Linked DNA regions of Oryctolagus cuniculus. The main gene of each other region encodes a partner of the protein of the gene in region 3 in a complex. Links are inferred from orthologs where the notes say so. Each region holds a gene or a part of one and is shown on either strand. Other genes may lie near its edges. The genes, in order: XPO5, E3 SUMO-protein ligase RanBP2 and XPO1.

Region 1 (3,649 bases), on a different chromosome or scaffold from region 3:
CCCAACCTGGCTGCCAGCTCGCCCCGGACCGGGTCTTCCTTACCACAAGAGGCTCCTCTGGTTGATGACTTGCCACTTCTGGGAAAGCCTCTGGGAAAACAAAGGAAGCAGGCGCTAGGATTGAGGAGAGACCTGGACTCCTAAGACCTGAGGCCCACATCGTGACGGAAATTTTCAAATGATTCCTGATACCAACAACAGAGCCTCTTTGGCTCCACATTGCAGCACCGCACACAGTTTCTGTCAGCTCTCCCACCCCCACGCTGAGGGCAGCAGGTCAAACAGCACTTTGCTTGAAAAGGACCAACACCGCTCAGAATCCCTGGTGTCTGGCCACAGCTGCTCACCGCCCAGCTCGTTCCCCTGCTTAACTCCAGGAGGGGAAGCACTGTCCTGAGCCCGTCACCCATCACAGGGGACGAGAGCAGGCCCCGCGCCTCCAGCTGCTCTGCAGGCCATTACATTGCCTAGTTTTCTGGGGGTTGCTCAACCGACTGCAGAGCTGACGGTCTGCTGGGGTGGGAGCTCTGTGCAGCTGGCCTGGCAGGGCCTAGAGACAACACAGGGAGGAGCCCACTCGCCAAACTTGCAGTGGCCACCTGCCAGTGGAGCGCTCTTGCCTCCCCTTTGCTGGCCTGTCCCTTACCATGTGGAGGTAGGTGAAGAGAGGTCCAAGGATGGGAGACACCAGTGCTTCGTAGTGCTCCGGGGGACAGAAGAGCACCAGGGGCTTCACAAAGACCCGTGCTGCGGGGCAGGTTAAGGTGTTTCAGCACACGGACCCAGCTGGGGCAGTCAGCCCGAGAGGCCTGCAGGATCGCCAGGGACTTCCTGGCTACACAGGGAGAAACCATCCCGCTGCGTGCAGCTCAATCCCATCACACTTATTTGTCCTGCCATTTACTTCAAACTTCCAGGCTTTTTAATGAGAACACGACACTGAAGACACAGCCCTCTGCCTTCCTCTGCTCTGACCTTTCAGGTTCTCGAGGAACTTTTCAAAGGATATGGAGCATGGGTCTGAGTCGGTAGTCAGGAATATTGTTCAAGTTGACAAAGGCGGAGCTAAGGAGCTGGGTAGCAAGGTCCTCCACGGTGTAGAAGTCCTGCTGCATGGAAGGGCCTGCCTTCCCGAGGATATGGAAACTGCAAGGGAAAACCAGGGGCAGTGACACATCCGGCATCTGCTACTGCCATCCCTAACTGCCCCAAGAGTTTTCAGCCAGAAAAGCGATTGTATTTGCTTCCTGAGAGCCCTTGAACTTTAAAGATGTGGGCCTAATCTTTAATCAGAAGTGAAAATACCTGCCCCTACCCTGTACCAATAAGGAAACTCCATGGAAGTACAGATTCAGCCTCTTTTTAGACAAATGTCTGTAGCCAAAATCAACAGCGGCCCTCGTTACGCTGTACGTGTTCTTACACAGGAGGCTCTCACTGGCATGACTGCTTATAGAGAACGGGATTAGTGAGGCCAAAGCTCTGCGGAGGTATGCATGAGGGCCGGGTCTGTCCCCATCCCATAGTCAGGACCGGAAGACAGACTCCTGGCCAGCGGCTGACTCACTGTCCCATGAGAGGCTGTGAGCAGTGAGGGGTCTGAGCAAGTGCAGCCTCACCAACTCTTGTCTTCCACCTGGGTCCCCTCACTTCGTGCACTAGACACAGAAAACCAGGAAATGAAACAGTCACGACCAGGACCGTGAGGCTCATAAAATAATTACCAAAACGCAAATGCAGGGAAGCTCGTTGTGCATTTTGATTTGTCCCTAAAATCATCAGTTTCCTGTCTCACATTACCCATCCACTAGCACTGGAGATCACACACCCCACTCGTGGCCACGCCCAGGCAGCAGCCACCTGGGAAGAGGGCGTGAGGGGCAGCGGTGGCTCCTTACCAGTTTTCATAGAGAGTGCTGAAGAAGCGCTGCATTCTTTCCAGAACTGTCTTGTAGACGGGGTGGTCATTGAGTTCCAGGAGAGGCTGAGGCAATCCTGCAGAGAGACACGGGCCAGGAGCATGCCGCCCTGCTCCCACGAGCCTCGCAGTGTGGTCTGGGAATGTGAGTGTGCGTGCAGGTGCTGCCACTGCAAAGCAGACGGCCGCATCGTCTGCCAGCTGGAGGTGCTGGAGCTTTCCCGAAGGTGACCTGTTACACTCTCTTGGTAGGGAAAGGACTTTGCACTAGGTCTCAGCACTCTCATTTTTGCCATGACATGATTACATATATATTTATATGTAATATATATATTTTTTCCAGGTGGAACAGGAAGTAAAACAGAGACAAGTCAGGATCTCAAAACATTCTAGTTTGTCTGTCTAGTTGGCAACATTATATATATGTAGATTTATTTATCTGAAAGGCAGAGTTACAGGGAAATCCAGAGAGATCTTCCATCCTCTGCTTCACTCCCCAAATGGTCCCAATGGCAAGAGGTATGTATGCTAGGCTGAAGCCAGGAGCCTAGAACTCCATCTGGGTCTCCCACATGGGTGGCAGGGCCCACGTACTTGGTCCACCTTTCACTGCTTTGCCAGGTGCATTAGCAGAGAGCTGCATCAGAAGTAGAGCAAGGGCTGGCGCTGTGGCATACTGGGTAAAGCTGCCACCTGTAGTGCTGGCATCCCATATGGGTGCTGGTTCCTGTCCTGGTTGCTCCAATTCCAATTCAGCTCCTTGCTAATGCGCCTGGGAAAACAGAAGATTGTCCAAGTCCTAGGCCCCAGTACCCATGTGGAAGACCTGGAAAAACTCCTGGCTCACGGCTTTGGCCTAGCCCAGCTTCAGCCACGAGGACATTTGGGGGGTGAACCAATAGACCGAAGATCTCTCTCACCCTTTCAAATAAAAAATAAATAAATCTTAAGAAAAAAAAAAAAAAAAGAAATGCAGCAGCTGGGACTCAAACTGCTGCTCACATGGGATGCTGGCGTCACAGGTAGCAGGTGGTGGCTTAACCTACTGTGCCTCAACACCAGCCCCAGGACGCATAATTTTTTTTTTCTAAAGATTTATTTATGTATTTGAAAGTCAGAGTTACACAGAGAGGGAAGGAGAGGCAGAGAGAGAGAAAGAGAGAGAGAGGTCCTCCATCTGCTGGTTCACTCCCCAGATGGCCACAACGACCAGAGCTGTACCCATCTGAAGCCAGGAGCCAGGAGCTTCCTCTGGGTCTTCCCATGCGGGTGTATGGGCCCAAGGACTTGGGCCATTTTCTATTGTTTTCCCAGGCCATAGCAGAGAGTTGGATTGGAAGTGGAGCAGCCGGATCTCGAACCAGAGCCCATATGGGATGCTGGCACTGGTACTGCAGGTGGTGGCCTTACCCACTATGCCACAGCACCAGCTCCGTGGAATACAAAATTCTAAACCAAGGGTTTCTGATTTGAGTAATGCAATGTTGTAGGAGAATGTGGCAAAACTACACCTTGTTTCTGTATTAATGGGAATATGGGTCTTGGAAATTCTATTTTTACTAGAGTCTGCAATGTGAATTTTAGTGTAGTGGTGCCAAAGAAAAGATCCAGGACTACCCAAGGCCAAGACAGACAGACATGAGCTCTGGAAAAGCAAAGTGACACCCATCCTTAGGTTACCTTCACAACTGAGGAATGCTCACTGGATTGCTGAGCCTAGCCAAGACCCGG
Region 2 (3,649 bases), about 41 Mb from region 3:
AAATGTGCACGTATGCAGTTCACGGTTCCCTTCAAGGTTCAGGTAATTCACCTGAACTGTTGCGGCTGGGTTACTTCTGGCAGCTTCAAGTTGATTTAGTGCTGGTATTCAATCATTCATTATTCACACACATCACGCGTGGCATCCCTGCCATCGGCTGCATGGCATTCTCTGCATGACGCCCCATTTCCACGTCACCACACAGGGAACAAGGAACTGTCTCACTGAGAGGCACACAGGGTGGAAGACGGTCAATACTCATGATCACAATACACACAATTTTCTGCTCTGACTGGGTTCTTTGTGGTTCTACGTGAAGTCTGCCAGTAAGAACATGTTTTAAAGCAGTTTGCCTAACTTGTGACACAAGCCACTTTTAACTGCATTTCAGTGTATCAAACTTGGGAAGTATTCCTTCGGGGGCTCTGGAAATTACGCGGCAGCTTGAGTTAACAGTACTGACCTTTAATTGCCCTCTGTACTTCAGTCTAATACTAGAATGAACAGACAACTAGATGCACAAGTAATGAACTTTTTAAATATCATGACTGTTGTCAATTGTCACTTTATTTCTGCTACAAAAGTCACCAGAAAAAGATACTGCAACAATCTAGTATAAAGCAAATCTTTAACCAAAGAACATGGTATAGACCTTTAAAAATATTCATACTTTATCACAATAACTGCAAGGAAAAATTCAATTTCTATCATCAGGACCAAGTTGAAATTGCTGAGGTAGTAGAGACAGATGACAAAAAAGTTTGTTTTCTTTTTTTAAAAAAGGAAATAGTCAATTTGCTTAAAATGTAAAAAATTAATTTAACACCTTTGAAAGGGCACAGAAGCTATATATTTTAGGCAAAGAAGGTACTCTACTTAAAAGTTCATTTGTAAACTATACAAGAGGTGTAAGATTACAGAAGAGCACTTTGGTTAACTCTACCTTCTGTGGCACTACCCATTCATAAATGAGTCTCTATGCATAAATGAGCACACCAACAGTTAAGGTTACCAAATATATTTCAGATCCAAAATAAAATTATCCAAGTTGTGGTCCCTTACTCAAATGTTAAGTATTTCCATGCTGGAAGTCCACATATATTTAAAGGAATTAAAATTAAATTGCATATATTTAATCCCTTCAATAGTCTGTGAAGGTATATTGCTTTTAACAAGATTATTATTACTATTCCATTTTATTACAGATATATCAGGAGTACATAAACACAAGTACACCTGAAATACACCAGTGTTTAAACTTTTATTTCACACCATGCAAGGTCAATTATAACACATTAAAAAGTGACAACAGCTATGAGCTGCAATTGTACATTTATACATTGGAAACGTCCATTTTCAAAAGCTGAACATAATTACCATATTGTAACAGCTAAGCTTTGATTCAACTGCTTATACAGATAAAATTTACTACAAAAAACCCAATGATTTTATATCTGTCCACATTCTGTGATGCTAATTCTTCGACTAACAGACCCTTTAGGAGAACCAAATGACTCAATCTTTTTCACAGTATCCATGCCATCCTTAACAAACCCAAATACTACATGCTTGAAGTCCAAATGTTCTGCTTTTCCCAGTGTTATAAAAAATTGAGAATTATTGGTATTTGGGCCCCTATTGGCCATTGACAGCAAGCCAGGACCAGTGTGTTTCACATCAAAATTTTCATCTTCAAATTTATCTCCATATATAGACTTTCCTCCTGTTCCATCATGTTTGGTGATATCTCCCCCCTGAAAGAAAAATTTAATTACTAGGAATTCTCAGTCAAACACTGAATTACACACAGAATTCATCACTGCAGGCTAAGTCCTAAACAACCAGCTTCCTGAAGAATGCAACTTAAGGGGCCAGCATTGTGACTCAGTAGGTTAAACTGCCACCTGTAATCCCAGCACCCCATATTGGAGTGCTGGTTCAAGTCCAGGCAGCTCTATTTCCAAACCAGCTTCCTGCTACAGCACCTGGGAAAGCAGAAGATGGCCCAAGTATCTGAGCCCTGACACCCATGCATTGACCAACTCTACTGTTCTGGGCATCTGGGGAGTGAACCAACAGATGGAAGGTCTCTCTCACTTTGTCTTTTAAACAAGGAAATAAATCTTTGCACTCCCTCCCCCAAAAAAGCTCTTTGAAAACTAAGAAATATGTATTTTTGAAAGACAATTAAGAAATTAAAACGTCCATCACTTCCCCACCCTCTTACACCCCAGTTAACAGAAAATTCAGACCCATTTAGGTTGAAACTTTTTGGCAGAGCTAGGAATTAGGGTGATAAAACCAATTAATGTGTGGGCAATCTACAGAAATTTTCACACTACAGCATAAGATCAGGAAGGAACACTCAACTTCCTGAGTTTATGCAGCACACACTCTTCTCTAGATTTCAATTCTGATGGACAATCATACTTACTTGGCAAAGACAATCTGGAATTACTCTGTGAAAAATGGAGTTCTTGAAACCAAAGCCCTTCTCTCCAGTACACAGTGCTCTGAAGTTCTCAGCAGTCTGAGGAACGATGTTTGAAAATAACTCCATGGTTATACGCCCTAAAGGTTCATCATCGGCACAAATGTCAAAAAACACCACAGGGTTGGTCTCTCTTGACAATTCTGCCAGTGAAACATGCCCTTTCTGGAGTTGCAATAAATTCTGTTGACATTCTTCAAACTTTTTCTTAAAACAATCAGCCATTTCTTTTGTTTTAAATCTCACTGCAAGCTGTTCCACTTTTGCTTCTCCATCTATTGGGATAAAAATGGAGAATACCTTTAAGATTAAAATAATCACTACCAACTGAATAACATGTTTGTTATGGGTTCAGGAAAGACCAAAAATGAAAAGTAGCATTCCCAAATAGAAACTCACCAGCATAATCTGAAGCAGTCCAAACTAAAGCATTATTTGAAACATTTAAGGGTTTTAATTCCATTGTTTTGGTAATAACATGGTTTGCACACACTTTGAAGACCTGGTCTCTCCTCATTAGGATCCGATAATAGTTCTTCATCCTATGCCAAAGGATCTTTATGTCTCCTACACCACGCTCCTTCCACTGGCTGGCATCACGATCCCATCTGTAAAGTTTGGCTCTCTCTTTAAACACAACTTCTTCATCTTCTTCTCCAGATTTTACTTCTACCTGGATTAGCAGAAGCAATTACCTATAAGCTGTTGCATATAACAAGTTTCAAATATTCAAATTCTTTAAGACATTTTCTTTGTAATGACGTTAACATCATAATGTGCTCACTGGTAAATATCCAGGCACAACAAATTCATCTGATTTGGTTGAAGCAGGAGGGAGCAAATTTATTATTAAATAGTTTTCTTTTAAACAGTATTCATTTGCATTTTAAAAATTGCTTCCTATATTGTAAACAAAAAGTTTCAAGAAGTCCCTGTTCCTGAAGAGAAACATCAACCACTGATCCAGGCTAAAAAAAAAAGAGGACAATTTTCCTAAAACAATAATCTTGTTCAAAAAATGTAAAGGTTATTTATATTTACTTTTGTGGGTTCAGTTTTGCCGATTTTATTGAGTCAATTCCAACTAGGAACAACAAAATAAATTTCTGCAAGTATAAATGTGATACGGGTTAAAACCCACTGTTCTATAACTAAAGA
Region 3 (3,649 bases):
TGAGCACATTTTGGGGTTTGGGCTGTACATTAGTTCTCCCTTTATCTGTCATTTGTTTTTCCATTGTTTCAATTGCCTGCTGTCAAACATGGCTGAAAATACTAAATGCAAAATACTTTGAAACATAATAACGGGCCAGTGTTGTGGTATAGTAGGTTAACCGTTACATGGGACACTGGTGTGCCATGTTAGCCCCTGGCCTCCTGGCTACTCTGCTTCTGATCCAGCTTCCTGCAGATGTGCCTAGGAAAGCAGGAAAAGATGGCCCAAGTACTTGGGCCCCTGCCACACAGGAGTTCCAGGCTCCTGGCTTTGACTTGGCCCAGCCCTGGCTGGGGCAGTCTTTTGGAGAGTGAACCAGCAGATTTCTGTCTTGCTGTAAATCTAAATTGCACATAATTCCGAGTTATGGGTTGAAATTTGTCCCTTGTCCCACCCAAGATAAGAATCATTCTTTCATTCAGCGTATCCACATTGTATGAGGATGAGCTGCTACTTACCCTTTAATCAGATTGTAGCTATCTAGAGTTTCAAATAGTCTTTTATGGTATTAGTGCTTACAGTGCAAGAGTAACCATGCTGGCAATTTGAATATGCCAAAGAGAAGCTGTTAGTGGTTGCAATAAGATATTGAGAGAAACTGCAATCATAACTTTTTAGTGCCTTATATTATTGTTAATCTGTATGTTTTTTGTATACTTAATATGTAAACTACATACTAATTGATACTTTATCACAAGTCTGTATATGGAAATAGGTAGAATATATAGGGGCTCAGTATTATTCATGGTTTCAGGCAACCACTAGGGATTGGAACATACCTCCTTTTGGGGAAGGGAGGAGCTACTCTATGTAATGCTATTTTGTTTGGAGAGTTTTCTTTCAAGTATGTGCATTAAAGAGAACAAAACTTGAGAAAACTTGAGAGATTATTGAAGGGATAAAATAAGAGTAAATGTGTCAAAAAACCAAACTCCTAAGAAATGAAGTTTTGTTTTTTTGTTTTTGTTTTTTTTTTTTTTGACAGTAGTCCTTTTAGGTGAGAATTAGAGAGTGCTTTTGGGTTTGTTTTTAAAGAATTATTTTTTGAATGGCAGAGTTACAGTCAGAGATGGAGAGAGAAAGAGAGAATGTCTAATAGCCATCCACCTGTTCATTTCCCAGATGGACACAACAGCCTGGACTGGGACAGGTGAAACCAGGACCTGGAATTCATTCAGGTCTCCCACATAGTGGCAGGTACCCAGCATCTTCTGCTGCCCTCTGTGGTGCATTAGCTGGGAGCTGGATTAGAACTGGAGTAGCTGGGACTTGACCAGTGGGATGCCAGTATTTCAGGCAGGAACCCAACCCGCTGTGCCAAAACTGGCCTTAGTGTTTGTAGTTTTAACAGCTTGCTTTTGATTGGTACTTTAAGTGTGTTGAAATTGAAGTCACTCAAGTTCTGACTGATGACAGGTCATTAAAATCATGAAATTTTTAATGATTTTATTAGTATATAAATGTGGTGTTTATTTGTCTTCTAAATTGGAACCTGTTATTCTTTTTTTAAGCATGTGCAATGAGTTCTCACAGATATTTCAGCTGTGTCAGTTTGTGATGGTAAGTGCTCTTAATTTGTTTTTTATTTCAAAACCAAGCCCTAAGAGGCTGTGTGCCTAGCTGCTGGGTCACTCCCCAAATGCTTGCAGCAGCTGAGGTTAGGGCAAGGCCAAAACCAGGAGCTGGGAAACTCAATCTGTGTCTTCTATTTGAGTGACAAGAAACCAGTTACTTCAGCCATCACTGCCGCCTCCCAGGATGTGCCTTAATTAGAAATTTAATGTATGGAACTGAAGTGCCTGCCCTTAGTTTCATTTTCAAAAATAAGTTATAGGAAAATAATATTTACAGATGTGTTTTTATTACAGGAAAATTCTCAAAATGCTCCACTTGTACATGCAACCTTGGAAACACTGCTCAGGTTTCTGAACTGGATTCCACTGGGATATATTTTTGAGACCAAGTTAATTAGCACATTAATTTATAAGGTAGTATGAATATATTTTGTTACTGCTTACTTGTATATATCCTTTTAAGTTGTAAAGATCTTTCTGCATAGCCAGTGTTTCTGAGGTGACAGTGCACAAAAGGAATGTTTCCATAATTATAGCTAGTAATTGAAATGAGTCAAATTCTGTGATTCTGCCACTTATATCCTATAATTTCATTTAATTTAAATGACAGACTTGATTATATTTAGTCACCTTTTCTGTTTTTCATTTATTTGAGAGGCTGGGAAAGAGACAAACTGCTCCCTTCTGTTGGGTCATTTCTCAGATTGCCCTCAAGGGCCTAGACTGGACCTCAGTTTAGGCATCCCACTTACTTGAAGCATTACCTGCTACTTCCCAGAAGCTGGGGAATCTTGGGAAGAGGCAGGACCTAAACCATGATACTCTTTAAAAAAAAAAAAAAGGAATGTTTGCATCCCAACAGTTCAGCCACTTAACCAGTCACCCCTTCACTCTCAGCTACATTCTTGTGTATATAGGATATTTATACTCATATCAAGCATTTCCTTCCAGTAAATTTGTTTAAAATGGAATTAGCAGGTCAATAGACATGTCCTTTTTTAAAAGATTTATTACTTGAAAAATAGGCAGAGTTACAGAGAAAAAGAGACATATCTCTTCTGTCTATTGGTTCATCCCCCAAATGGCCCTAACTGCAGGGACTGTTTCAAGCCAAAGCCAGCAGCCCAATATTCCGTACTAGTCTTGTACTGTTTTGCCAAATGCATAAACAGCTAGATTGGAAGCAGAGCAGGCAGGACTTGAATAGATACTCATGGCCCATATATGTCTATTTCTATCCCATTAAGTCTCAAGTTTTCAATTCTGCAACTATTTCTAGGACATATATTTAATTAAATGTTACTGTAAGTGGTATAGTTATTGTTCAATTTAAGTCTTTATAGGTGTCTTATGAATAGAATGTAATAGGCTAAGGCTTTTAATGCTTACCAAACTGCCACCCACTGATAGCTTTGCCACTTATATATTTTCTCCAAATTCATAGTATTCCTTAGATGATGGAATTTCCTTAAAATAATCTCTAAAATAAGGCATATCATTCACTTACCTATTTGACTGCTAACTTGTTTCTGATTGTTAAATCTTTTCCTTTCCTTAAAATGTTTATCTTAAGCATCATGTGCTTCAGCTATTTAATTTTATGTTTCTCTTTTTTAAAAATATAGTTCCTGAATGTTCCAATGTTTCGAAATGTCTCTCTGAAGTGCCTCACCGAGATTGCTGGTGTGAGTGTAAGCCAATATGAGGAACAATTTGTAACGCTATTTACACTGACAATGATGCAGCTAAAACAGGTAATAGTCTGCTATCTTGAAAATGGAACCATTTTTGTGCCTTAGAAAATGTTGGATTCAAGTTCAGATATTTTACCTCCATGTGTTACACATCAAGTGTATTGAGATATTGTGTTTTTATTTTTTTAAGATTTATTTATTTGAAAGAGTTCGAGAGAGAGAGAGAGAGGTCTTCCATCTGATGGTTCACTCCCCAGTTGGTTGCAGTGGCTGAAGCTGTGCCGATCCAAAGCCAGGAGCTTCCTCTGGGTCTCCCACACGGGTGCAGGTCCCAAGGAC

Evidence for each region.
Region 1: XPO1 (region 3) and XPO5 share a complex: the UniProt entries of both Homo sapiens proteins name them as parts of the nuclear export receptor complex. The link is inferred for Oryctolagus cuniculus from reciprocal best matches to the Homo sapiens genes XPO1 and XPO5.
Region 2: the proteins of XPO1 (region 3) and E3 SUMO-protein ligase RanBP2 are in contact, whole or in part, in a cryo-EM structure (PDB 9B62), measured with the Homo sapiens proteins. The link is inferred for Oryctolagus cuniculus from reciprocal best matches to the Homo sapiens genes XPO1 and RANBP2. Residues at the interface, in NP_003391.1 of Homo sapiens: Trp60, Val63, Asp64, Leu83, Asn97, Gln98, Gly101, Ile102, Lys104, Tyr105, Val107, Gly108, Ile110, Ile111, Leu134, Phe149, Asp152, Ile153, Gly155, Ala156, Ser157, Arg158, Thr159, Ser160, Glu161, Leu163, Cys164, Asn167, Leu208, Phe211; in NP_006258.3 of Homo sapiens: Val2508, Val2509, Ser2510, Pro2511, Pro2512, Lys2513, Phe2514, Val2515, Phe2516, Gly2841, Phe2842, Gly2843, Ser2845, Thr2846, Gly2847, Leu2848, Ser2849, Phe2850, Ala2851, Leu2853, Ala2854, Asn2857, Ser2858, Gly2859, Asp2860, Phe2861, Ala2862, Phe2863, Gly2864, Ser2865.

Annotation. Positions count from the first base shown.
Region 1 is NC_091436.1:126,538,305-126,541,953, reverse strand, and holds part of XPO5 (exportin-5), read right to left. Parts: intron 1,996-3,649; coding exon 1,899-1,995; intron 1,147-1,898; coding exon 1,011-1,146; coding exon of another isoform or gene 1,010-1,010; intron 746-1,009; coding exon 647-745; intron 91-646; coding exon 44-90; intron 1-43. UniProt on the Homo sapiens protein: Mediates the nuclear export of proteins bearing a double-stranded RNA binding domain (dsRBD) and double-stranded RNAs (cargos). XPO5 in the nucleus binds cooperatively to the RNA and to the GTPase Ran in its active GTP-bound form.
Region 2 is NC_091433.1:100,042,625-100,046,273, forward strand, and holds the end of E3 SUMO-protein ligase RanBP2, read right to left. Parts: intron 3,165-3,649; coding exon 2,891-3,164; intron 2,767-2,890; coding exon 2,435-2,766; intron 1,755-2,434; coding exon 1,449-1,754; 3' UTR 533-1,448; downstream 1-532. UniProt on the Homo sapiens protein: E3 SUMO-protein ligase which facilitates SUMO1 and SUMO2 conjugation by UBE2I. Involved in transport factor (Ran-GTP, karyopherin)-mediated protein import via the F-G repeat-containing domain which acts as a docking site for substrates.
Region 3 is NC_091433.1:141,245,626-141,249,274, forward strand, and holds part of XPO1 (exportin-1), read left to right. Parts: intron 1-1,553; coding exon 1,554-1,602; intron 1,603-1,910; coding exon 1,911-2,030; intron 2,031-3,241; coding exon 3,242-3,370; intron 3,371-3,649. UniProt on the Homo sapiens protein: Mediates the nuclear export of cellular proteins (cargos) bearing a leucine-rich nuclear export signal (NES) and of RNAs.